Caenorhabditis elegans: one gene and its partner. The protein of the gene in region 2 interacts with the protein of the main gene of each other region in a pairwise test. Each region holds a gene or a part of one and is shown on either strand. Other genes may lie near its edges.

What was found.
Region 1: the proteins of thoc-5 (region 2) and thoc-7 interact in a two-hybrid assay, tested with the Caenorhabditis elegans proteins (one large-scale study listed by BioGRID).

What each region holds. Positions count from the first base shown.
Region 1 is NC_003282.8:13,881,050-13,884,894, reverse strand, and holds thoc-7 (THO complex subunit 7 homolog), read right to left. Parts: upstream 2,162-3,845; coding exon 2,009-2,161; intron 1,963-2,008; coding exon 1,858-1,962; intron 1,510-1,857; coding exon 1,442-1,509; intron 1,390-1,441; coding exon 1,184-1,389; intron 952-1,183; coding exon 851-951; 3' UTR 718-850; downstream 1-717. Other genes in the region: rpl-29 (60S ribosomal protein L29), read right to left, coding at 2,311-2,462, 2,617-2,653; B0513.4 (Transposase), read right to left, coding at 3,409-3,486, 3,539-3,642, 3,713-3,766.
Region 2 is NC_003281.10:5,345,324-5,351,401, forward strand, and holds thoc-5 (THO complex subunit 5), read right to left. Parts: upstream 4,079-6,078; 5' UTR 4,038-4,078; coding exon 3,912-4,037; intron 3,865-3,911; coding exon 3,745-3,864; intron 3,696-3,744; coding exon 3,358-3,695; intron 3,313-3,357; coding exon 3,053-3,312; intron 2,559-3,052; coding exon 2,177-2,558; intron 1,804-2,176; coding exon 1,435-1,803; intron 1,185-1,434; coding exon 980-1,184; 3' UTR 780-979; coding exon of another isoform or gene 732-779; 3' UTR 608-731; downstream 1-607. Other genes in the region: glrx-21 (Glutaredoxin domain-containing protein), read right to left, coding at 81-197, 328-522, 732-779.

The DNA of each region.
Region 1 (3,845 bases), on a different chromosome or scaffold from region 2:
TCTGTGACGTCACACCCAAAGTCACTGAGAATTGTGGGCGGGGTCTGTCATCCTTCGTGGTGAGACCCATCGTGGTGAGACCCATCGTGGCGAGACCCATCGTGGTGAGACCCGTCGTGGCGAGACCCATCGTGGTGAGACCCATCGTGGTGAGACCCATCGTGGCGAGACCCATCGTGGTGAGACCCATCGTTGCGATACCCACCGTAGTGAGACCCATCGTGGCGATACCCGTCGTGGCGAGACCCATCGTGGTGAGACCCATCGTGGTGAGACTCGTCGTGGTGATACTCATCGTTGCGAGACCCACCGTGGTGAGACCCGTCGTGATGAGACCCATCGTGGTAAGACCCATCGTGGTGAGACCCGTCGTGGTGAGACCCATCGTGGTGAGACCCATCGTGGCGAGACCCATCGTGGTGAGACCCGTCGTGGCGAGACCCATCGTGGTGAGACCCATCGTGGCGAGACCCATCGTGGTGAGACCCATCGTCGCGAGACCGATGTCTGCTGCGCACTTAACATAAGGTTTCCCAAAATTTCGTTGCTCTGATCAAAGATCAAACTACATAGGGACAGAAGGACACGCGCTTTATATATAGTAAATGATTTTTCCATTCCCCACGATGCCCATTTTGTATTTCGTATATTTTCCTTCGGCAGGACTTCAAAAATCCCGCAAAATTATGTACAAAAAGTCACAATAAAAAAGTAAATAAATGTTCGAGAAAAGTGTTCATTGAAAGTGAGAGAAGTGAATCGCATTAGAGATCATTATCGACAGAAAAAGTATTTTCGCCCGCTTTTCTCCTTTTTTTTTCGTGTGTGTGTCGTGGTGGTGGCCGTCTGTCTACTTTCGGACATCATCCTCTTGTTGTTTTTCGGTGACTGAAGCTGCATCGTCATCTTCTCCTGGATTCGACATGACTTCCGCATCGTCGTCGTCGTCTTCTGAAACAAAAAAAAATAGGTGAACGATCAAAGAATGGGAATTCAAAGACGGAAAAGTGATAGATGACTGCCGTGGGAAGACTGAAATTACAACAAAAAATGAAGCAGAGTTCAAAGAATCAAACAGTGAGGCGATTTTACTGAATTTTTACAAAATTCACAGATCGATCGTTTGATTTCAACAGTAATTTCACGGCTTCAGCTCAACTTTCCGCAATGAATGCACACGAACCTGCACAAAAACGCTGAAAATTGGAGAGTATAATCATGAATGCTTGGAGATGATTTCTTCGATCCATAAGCTTCGCCTCAAGCACCTTCTGACGTTCGTGTTGTCGTTCCAAGTCATCTTTGACTTCTCCCAGTTTTCGTGTAGTTTCTGCTCGAGACGGTACTTCTTCTAGTACATTAACAAGTTTTCGGTATTCTTGACGGTTTCTAAATGATAAAATATTGTAAATTGGTTAACATTTTTCGGAAAATCGATTACCTTTTTACAATTTTCGCATCGGCCAACTCATTCTTTGCCACCTCCATCTTTTTGTACATTTCTTCGATCTGGAATAGAAATTAAATTTTTATAATTATCCTGTCTTATATTTAACGGCAATTTAACAAAATGACCTCTCGTTTTAACATTTTTCATTAAAAATTGGTGTCAAAATATAGAAAATTACTAGATTTATATGGAAATAACATCCATTTTGAAAAACAAAGCTCGCTAACTCTGTAATCGACAATTTTCAGGTCATTTACATTTCTGAGCACTTTCTCAAATATTTCAATTACAATGAACCTGATTTTCAGATAAATCAAGTGATTTTCTATCTTTTTGCACTAATTTTTAATGGAAAGATGGTGCAATATGTCTTTTTTTTCTCCATTGCCGTGTTTTCCTCTCCGTACCGATTGATCGATTTCCTCTGCAAACTGATCGCATTCAGTTGCATGAATCTTGTTCATATGGGATATTCTTTTCTGCTTCAACATCGACAACTCCAAAAACTCGAGCTGAAAACATACATTTTCACTGAACAAGATCTCCCCGGATCCTTACAGCTTTGGTAACCTTCACTGCTTCGGGAACAGAAGTCTTCGCATCCTCCTTTCTACTTTCACGGAAAAACGTGGCAATTTGCTGAACTTTACGATCATCGCCAACTCCTTCGCCGTCGGCCACAAGCTTTCGGAGCAAAGTGTCCTCTTTCATCTAAAGTCAGACATACAACTTGTTCACGCAACATGAGCCGAATGTTAATTCAAATATTCTGCACGGCGCATACTTCTACCAATTTTTTAATAAGTAAACAAAAACAGATGATATTAAAGGTAACAAAGTTTATCCGAATTAACAACAATTTAGGCCTTGGACTCGACGGACTTGTTGATCTGACGTTTGTTGTTCTTTCTGGAGAAACGGAGGTTCTTGATGAACTTGGCGTCGACTCCCTTCATGGAGAGGAAGATGTGCTTCTTTGGCTTCGTGATTCCATTACGGTGAGCCTTCTTGTCTGAAAATTAAATTATAAATATTCAATACTGTTTTTTTCTAGTTTTTATTTTAATGATTCATCCAAAAAAAAAATCGCTCAAATTCTTTAAGAATGCTTTTAAAAAGAGATTTCTCTACAGAAACTACTTTTATATCTGAATTTAAATACTCACTCTGGTTGTGATTGGTGTGGTTCTTGGACTTGGCCATGACGACAACGGTTAACCCTGAAAATGACGAGTTGTGATAGAAAAATGTGAATCAGTCAAAAAATCGATAACCAAACGACGAAAACGTGAATTTTTGGGACCATAAAAGAGAGATCTTACAAAATACATAAATTTTACTAATAATTCTCAAATTCAAAAAATTTAATCGCGAAAAAGAATCAAAAAAGGTTAAAAACTGTAGGATTTGGAAGAAAAATGAAAGAAAACGGAAAAGAACGCGGCTGGCGGATACGGTCACACTCGTTCAGCTGTGTGCAGTCGTGGCGAGACCCGCTACGGAGAGAGTGTGTGAAAAGAGGAGACGCCGACTAGTTTCGTGTCGATTTACGAGCTGAGGAATTTTTCATTTTATTTTCAGACTTTTCGAGCAATTTTCGGCTGAAACTAGGCGAATACTTTGAAAATTGTTTGTTAAATTGTTAAAAAGTGATTGTCTGTTAGTAGATTAAATGGTTTTTCTTTAAAATTTCGTCATTTAGCTTGTAGAATGATGTTTCTCACTTGTTTTCAAATAAATTTATTTTTAAAACTCTAATTTCACCGATTTTGCTCAGATTAAAAGTAAATCAGACAGTATACAATTTAATTTACTTTTGAGGCCAGAATTGATAAAAAGCCGCTACGGTTACCATCTTTCGTTGTATTTTCGTGCATGTCTCGACAAATTGCAGAATTATTTCGAATGTATTTTATTTATGTCAAAATTAAAAAGAATTGAGTTTATCGTCGGTTCATTCAATAAGAAGTATTCGGTGAGCAGCAAACGCAGAGTGGTTGTTTCTCAAGGACCATGTTGAACCCGATGATGGAGGCCTGAAAATAAATTTTTAAAAATATATTTTTTTCTACAGCTGTGAACGATCACCTCCTTGATGTTAGTTCCCTGGATTCTGGCGGCCATTTTGCAGCATTTATCACAGGAATCGTTCTTGTACGTGTCTTGGCAATAGTTCACCGTTGGACGGTAATCTGGAAAGAAAAAATCAACGGAATGGCAATTCATTGGAAAAAAATGAAGCAAAAAATACAAAAAACTAACGCTTTCCGCCCTGTCCGAAGAGTCCATAGTTGGCCTGGATTGTGCACACATAATCTGAAAAAAAAGTCTTGATTTTCCCTCATGATGCCCAGCATTTAGAAAAAACTAGGTGCTCGTGCAAAAGGTTAATAGC
Region 2 (6,078 bases):
TAGGTGTGAAAACCTTCAACTACAATAAAATTTAGACAAAAACTGAAGAAAAACTTTTTTTTTGGAAATGGTGAAAAAGTTTATTCTTTCGGCGAATTCTCTCCCGTGCACTGAGCAATTGCTTCGAAGAGGTGTCCAGAGTTGCGGAGAGCATCCAGCTCAGTGTATCCACCGATGAAACGACCGCAGACAAAGATCTGAAAGAAATTTATTTGAAAAACTTTAAAATTCGGATTTTTTTAAATTTTATGGAAAATTCTATACCTAGCCGTTTTCAGATTAAGATTAAGATTAAAACAAATTTTGCAAAAAAAATATCTATCGAACCTGTGGCACACTGGTCTGTCGTGTAGTATATACAAGTCCATTGACAATTCCCAAATAATCATCCGGTTGAGATGCCTTCAAAGTGTCCAAATTCACTTCTTTATAAGCAACACGAACATCGGAAAATAGATCTTTTGCTCGATTACAGAATGTGCATGATGTTTTTGTGTACATCACAACTGGATCCTTTTTCACCTGTAATCGATTTTTTAAATTCCAAAAAAGTTTCCATTTATTTACAAAGTTCTAAAAATTATTAGACAGTTTCAAAATAAAACGCTTTAATAATTCAAACATTTATTTAAAAAATACATTAAATTGAAGTTTATTTTTCTGAATTATTATTTTTAGGAATTCACAATCTGTTTTCAGAAGATTTTTTTGTTTTTCTCTAAAAAATGTACCTGTTCCTGTACAACATCAACATTGACTTTTGAGGTGACTCCTCCCATTTTTGAAGTATGGAGCTGGAAAGAAAGAGCCAAATATTCTATTTTTAATCAACATTTTTCAAAAAAATATATTGGGAATAAAACCAATGGTACATATTGAAAAATCGGGTAGAAATTTTGAAAAAATCAAAGATATATTGAGAAAACATTTTTAGAAAAAAAAACGATATTTAAGAGATCACACGAAAAATGGAAAAAAATCAGGAAAGATCGATATGCTTAAGAAGCAGGCTAAGTTGTTCTTTAATACTCTTCACATCATCAACATAGTGAGCTTCAGTGTTCAGACGATCCTCAATTTGTCTGGCAACTTCTGTACTTGATTCGGAATCTTCTGGAGCAGCAATTCCAAAAAGTGCAGTGTGTCGTGGATAGTCGGCGGGAATTGAGATATAAGCAGTGAGTCTGGAATATTATTTTAATATAGAATCTGTTTATCGAAAATCTCAAGCAATTATAAGTCTCGAAAAATAATTTTTGTAGCAATTTTGCAAAATTAGTCTAGAAAAATTGGAAAATTTCGATATCTTTCACAGTTAATTTTAACAGATTTGAAAAACTTGATATTGAATTTTTCATTGTATACTTACGAAAAAACGTTTCATATTTCGAAAAGTTTAATGTTTTTATTTTTTTCGAATTTTTCAAAAATTACTTTCTGCCATTTCCATCGGAAGCCTCAATTTTATATGAAAATCTGTCGGTTGCTGCGGAATTTGAAATTTTCTTCGTAAGGCTTGTTGGAATTGAAGCAATAAAAGATTCATCATCACAAATCTTGAAGGAATTAATTTTCACTTCTGGTTCCAAATTCAAATCGTCAGTTTTCTTAGATTCCAAATCTCGAATAATTCCATCAAGTACTGCACGATTGGATATTCTCGTTCTAATCGTTGTGATCACTTTTCTCAAATGCTCTGTTGCTCCAATTCGATCAGTTTCGCCTTCGGATCCACTGATTTCTTGAATAAATTTGAACGGTTTTCCGATTTGTTTTGCACTTGAGTTGAAGTTCATTCTGTAACTTGATGGCGGTTTGGATTGAAATTTTTGAAAAAAAGTGTTTTAAAAATTATATTTTTGCCGTTCTAAATAAATCCGAGGGTCTTCAAAAATTTTTGAAGCTACAATATTTAATATTTTCAGTAAAACAATTTTTCCTCCATTTTTCAAACGGAACAACGTTGTTGAAGTTTGCAATAAAATTACGGAAATTTGTTTTTCAGATATAATGTATAAAATTAGTTTAATACATAAGTTATAACTATTCGAAATTCAAAAAATTAAATATTCTGTAAAAATTGGCATATTTTTTGAACTTTTCAAACGATATTCTCTATTTTATGATAATACAGATATTTTAAGTAGATTTTCATATTTTAATATTTATTTCTTACTTCAAATGTTCAATCTTCATTTCTCCAACATCATTTGGACACTTGTCTCCCGTATCATTTTCGAATAAATCTGACATCAGTGAGTCAATCGAGAAAAACGGTGATTTTTTGAGCTTTGAGTCCGTATTTATATGCCATTTCGCAGTTGTCACTTTAAGTTCTGTCAGATACTGAATTTGCATTGAAATTTTAATATTTTCAGAGCATTCAATCTCAAATTCCAGGCTCATTGGATGAACTTCAAGCAGTTCTGAAGCCATTTTATTAATTTTTTCTTGAGTTGTTTCATCTTCTTTTCGTTTTCTTTTCATGGCTTCTGTTTCATCTTTCGATTGTTTTTCTGTGTCGTTTGTGCCAAGAATTCGGAATTCGAAGAGCTTGTCTGAAATATGGAAATTGTGAAAAATCTGATAGTTTCTGATTTTTGCATTCAAATGTTTAATCAATTTTGACCAGTTTTTTCAACATTTTTAATGGTAAATAATCTTTTAAAAAACTGCTTCAAAATTTAATTCGAGTAGATTTTTATCAGAAAATGGTCCATAAATTTTTCAATAGGGGTTTTCTATGTTTTCCTAGTTTGTCAAGTAAGTTTTAAGATTTTTAAGTTTTTTTTAAATTTAACAGAACCGAAACATTTGCTCAAAATTCGTTAAAATTATCTGTAAATCGATTGAAATTCCATTTATTTCGAGAAATTTTCAGATTTCTGAGAGATATTTCCTGATATTTTATATCTTGTTCGTACAGTTTTTGCTCTAAATCTTTGCAAAATGCCAGATTTTCGACAATATTTCGCTTTTAAAAATCTCAGTGAAATAATATCTAAAACCGCACATTTATACAAAAAATTTCGCAAAATTTTCGAATATTCACCATCATGAATTTCCTTATAAGCAGCAGCATGTATATGTGCAACAGCAAGTGGAGCCGGCAATTGCAATGAGAGCTTTCGCTGCTCCCCTTCAATCGATAAATCTTTGAATTTGGCGCCAACCATTTCGAAGACGGGCTCCGCAACTTTTGTGAGATCTTCAAGTTTTGGTTTAAGACCTTGAAGACGAACTTCTTTTCCACGTATGTCGCTTTGCAGTACGTTTCGACGACCCTCGAGCTCGTTGAGTGTAGAGAGAAGTCTGAAAAAAGATTTTAAAGAGATTTTTATTGAAAATCTCACAAACTCTCGTCTCTGCTCATTCTCGAACTTCAATCTTGCCAAATATTGTTCGTGCTCGTTATCAGCCGTCTCATTTGCAAGAATCTCCGACGCTTCAGTGTGAAATTGCTCGAAAGGGACCAACTCAAGCTCCTCATCACCGGCGCTAAAGTCCAAACAACGATCGATTTCTTTTTGAATGTGTTGCACCTCGCTAGTAACATTCTGTAACTGTAGAAGCTTCGCATCAACGTTCTCCATCCTCTCGGCCACCTCTTTTCGCATTAGGGCAGTTCCATAGTGGGTAAGTCGTGTATTTCGGCGTAAACGCGCGATTTTCGAGATAGTATCCGAGGATGTTGGCTGAAAAATCAATTATTGCTTTTAAATATTCAAACAGCTGCCTCCCTACCTTTCCATCCAAGTATTCTTCAACAGCATTTCTCAAAAATGCGTAATCTTGGAGAAATTCTTCGAAAATTCGATCGCTACCCATTTCCGTTGCAATTTTGTCTTCCAGATTGAACAGTTTCTGAATTAAAAATCGATAAAACCGTTAACAAACGCTTGTTGAAAAACCTCAGGGCTGTCCATTTTCGGCATATCAGTCAGGAGTTGTGTGGCTTTTTCAGATAATTTAATTTCCGGATTTTTCTTTTTCTGTTCTTCAACAAATCGCTTCACCGGGCGAACGTTTACAGACATTTTTTCGCTGAAAAGAAGAAGTTAATTTGAAAAAGTACAATAAAAAGTACAACAAAAATGCTGTCCGAGAGGAGTCCGCGGGAGATGGACGAAAAAGAAAGCTAGGCCACCGATGCGGAAAACTGGAGCGAAGTTTGAAAAATGTTTCTCTTTTGCGTCTTTCACGGCCTAATTCCGTGTTTCCGTAATAATACAACGTGGCCAAATTATTTACATCCTGAAAATCTTTTTAAAACCCGAAGATTGTTTTTTAAATTTCAAACAAAAAATATGTTAGTATGAACAAATTTTAACAAAAAAAGAAGATACAAAATTAATTAGAAATTCACGCAAACTCTTTTTTTGATAAATTTTATGCTCTTTGGAATTGCATTTACAGTGCTACAACTCTACAGTTCACCTACAGTACCCCTACCGTACCACTTGATATAAGCCAAAATCTCTCCTCTTACTTGGTAAAATTTGGTAACCTCAAATGTACTTAAATCAAGTTTCATTATGAAATTCGGTGTTTTCAGACAATTTTTTTTTGTCTGATGACTTTGACATTTATTATGGGTTTGAAGAGAGTTGAGAATTTTCATTGCAAATTTCTTAAAGTCGAAAAAAATTACTTGAAGTTTTCTAAATAATTATGAGAAATTCGATTTTTAGAGACGCGAAAAAACAATTTATTTATTTTTTAAAAATTACAAATTAATACATTTTTACATTAAAGTCTACTGATTTTATTAGATTTTTTGAAATCTGCAAAATAGTTTTCAAAATATCTTAAAACCACTTTTAATTTTTAAACTTTTTTTTGAATATCTTAAATTTCTCAATTGTACTGAGTTTAGTTTTTTCTTAATTTGAAAATTTCCTCTGCTATTTCTAAATTAATTCTGGATTTATCTTATTTTTAATTTTCCGTTTTAGAAAAAAAAAATCTCGAAATTATTTTCAGAACTAAACATGGATTAAAAATCCAAACCAATGACTGTATTCTCAATAGAATCTGTGCTCAGCCAATTTTCAATTAAGAAATTATGGGAAATTCGATCAAAAAATGAAGTATTACGGAATACCAGTGATAAAATGGATCCCAATAAAACAAAGTAATATTTTTTTCAATATTTGAATTTTTGAAAATAGATTAATAATCATAGATGTAAAAATCAATTATCGAATTTTCGATTTAAATTTTATCACTTTTTTTTCTGAAGTACAAGTAGACCAGGTTTTCCAAAATTAATAATTTTCAAAAATTCTCAAACGACTTTTTGAAAATTTTTCTTTCAAAAGAAAACTTTAGACTATCAGGAATGTATAGCTTTTTCAAAAATGAAAATGTTTTAGAAAATCAAACAATCGGTATTGGTAAAAAAGTTTAATTTTTTTCTCGAAAAATTGAGAACAAATTAATAGTGAAATCAATTTAAAAACTCGAAACTTGAGTTTGGTAAGATTGCAGGCCACCGAGAAATTTACAGTAACCAGAAAAACTGAAGCAGAAGAAATTAATTTTCTAATTGTTAATGTTACTTCCTCGGCAGTAACCCGCGGCGATAAATTTCTGAGTAGTTGTGCATGCGCGAACTGCCAGAAATGAAACAAATATTTTCTCCTTATCCAAAGTCTATCCAAGGTCTGTCAGCTCTTTGTAATGGCTAAAGATAAGCTGACAGACCTTGGACAAGGAGTGGGCAAACCTTGGTCAAGGAATTGCGGGCTACTGCCGAGTAGTAATTATAGAGTGGTTTATGGTTTTTTGAAGCTTTAGGTCAACGACTAAATTGAGTTGGCCTATATTTTCGTGTTTATTGAAACTTTGGCCATTAATTAAAACGACATCGTTTAGACATATAGATGTATTAAAAAATCTCCACCGGTGATGTTTGCATGGCCTAAGTTTTTGTATTTATGACAACTTAAGGTACCAATGGTATTGAGATGGTCTAGGGCCTTGTATTCAAAGAAACTTATAGGTCATCTATGTTATTCGTGTGACAGAAGTTTTCAATTTTTCCAGAACTACGAATCAGCTGAAAATGTGCCAGGA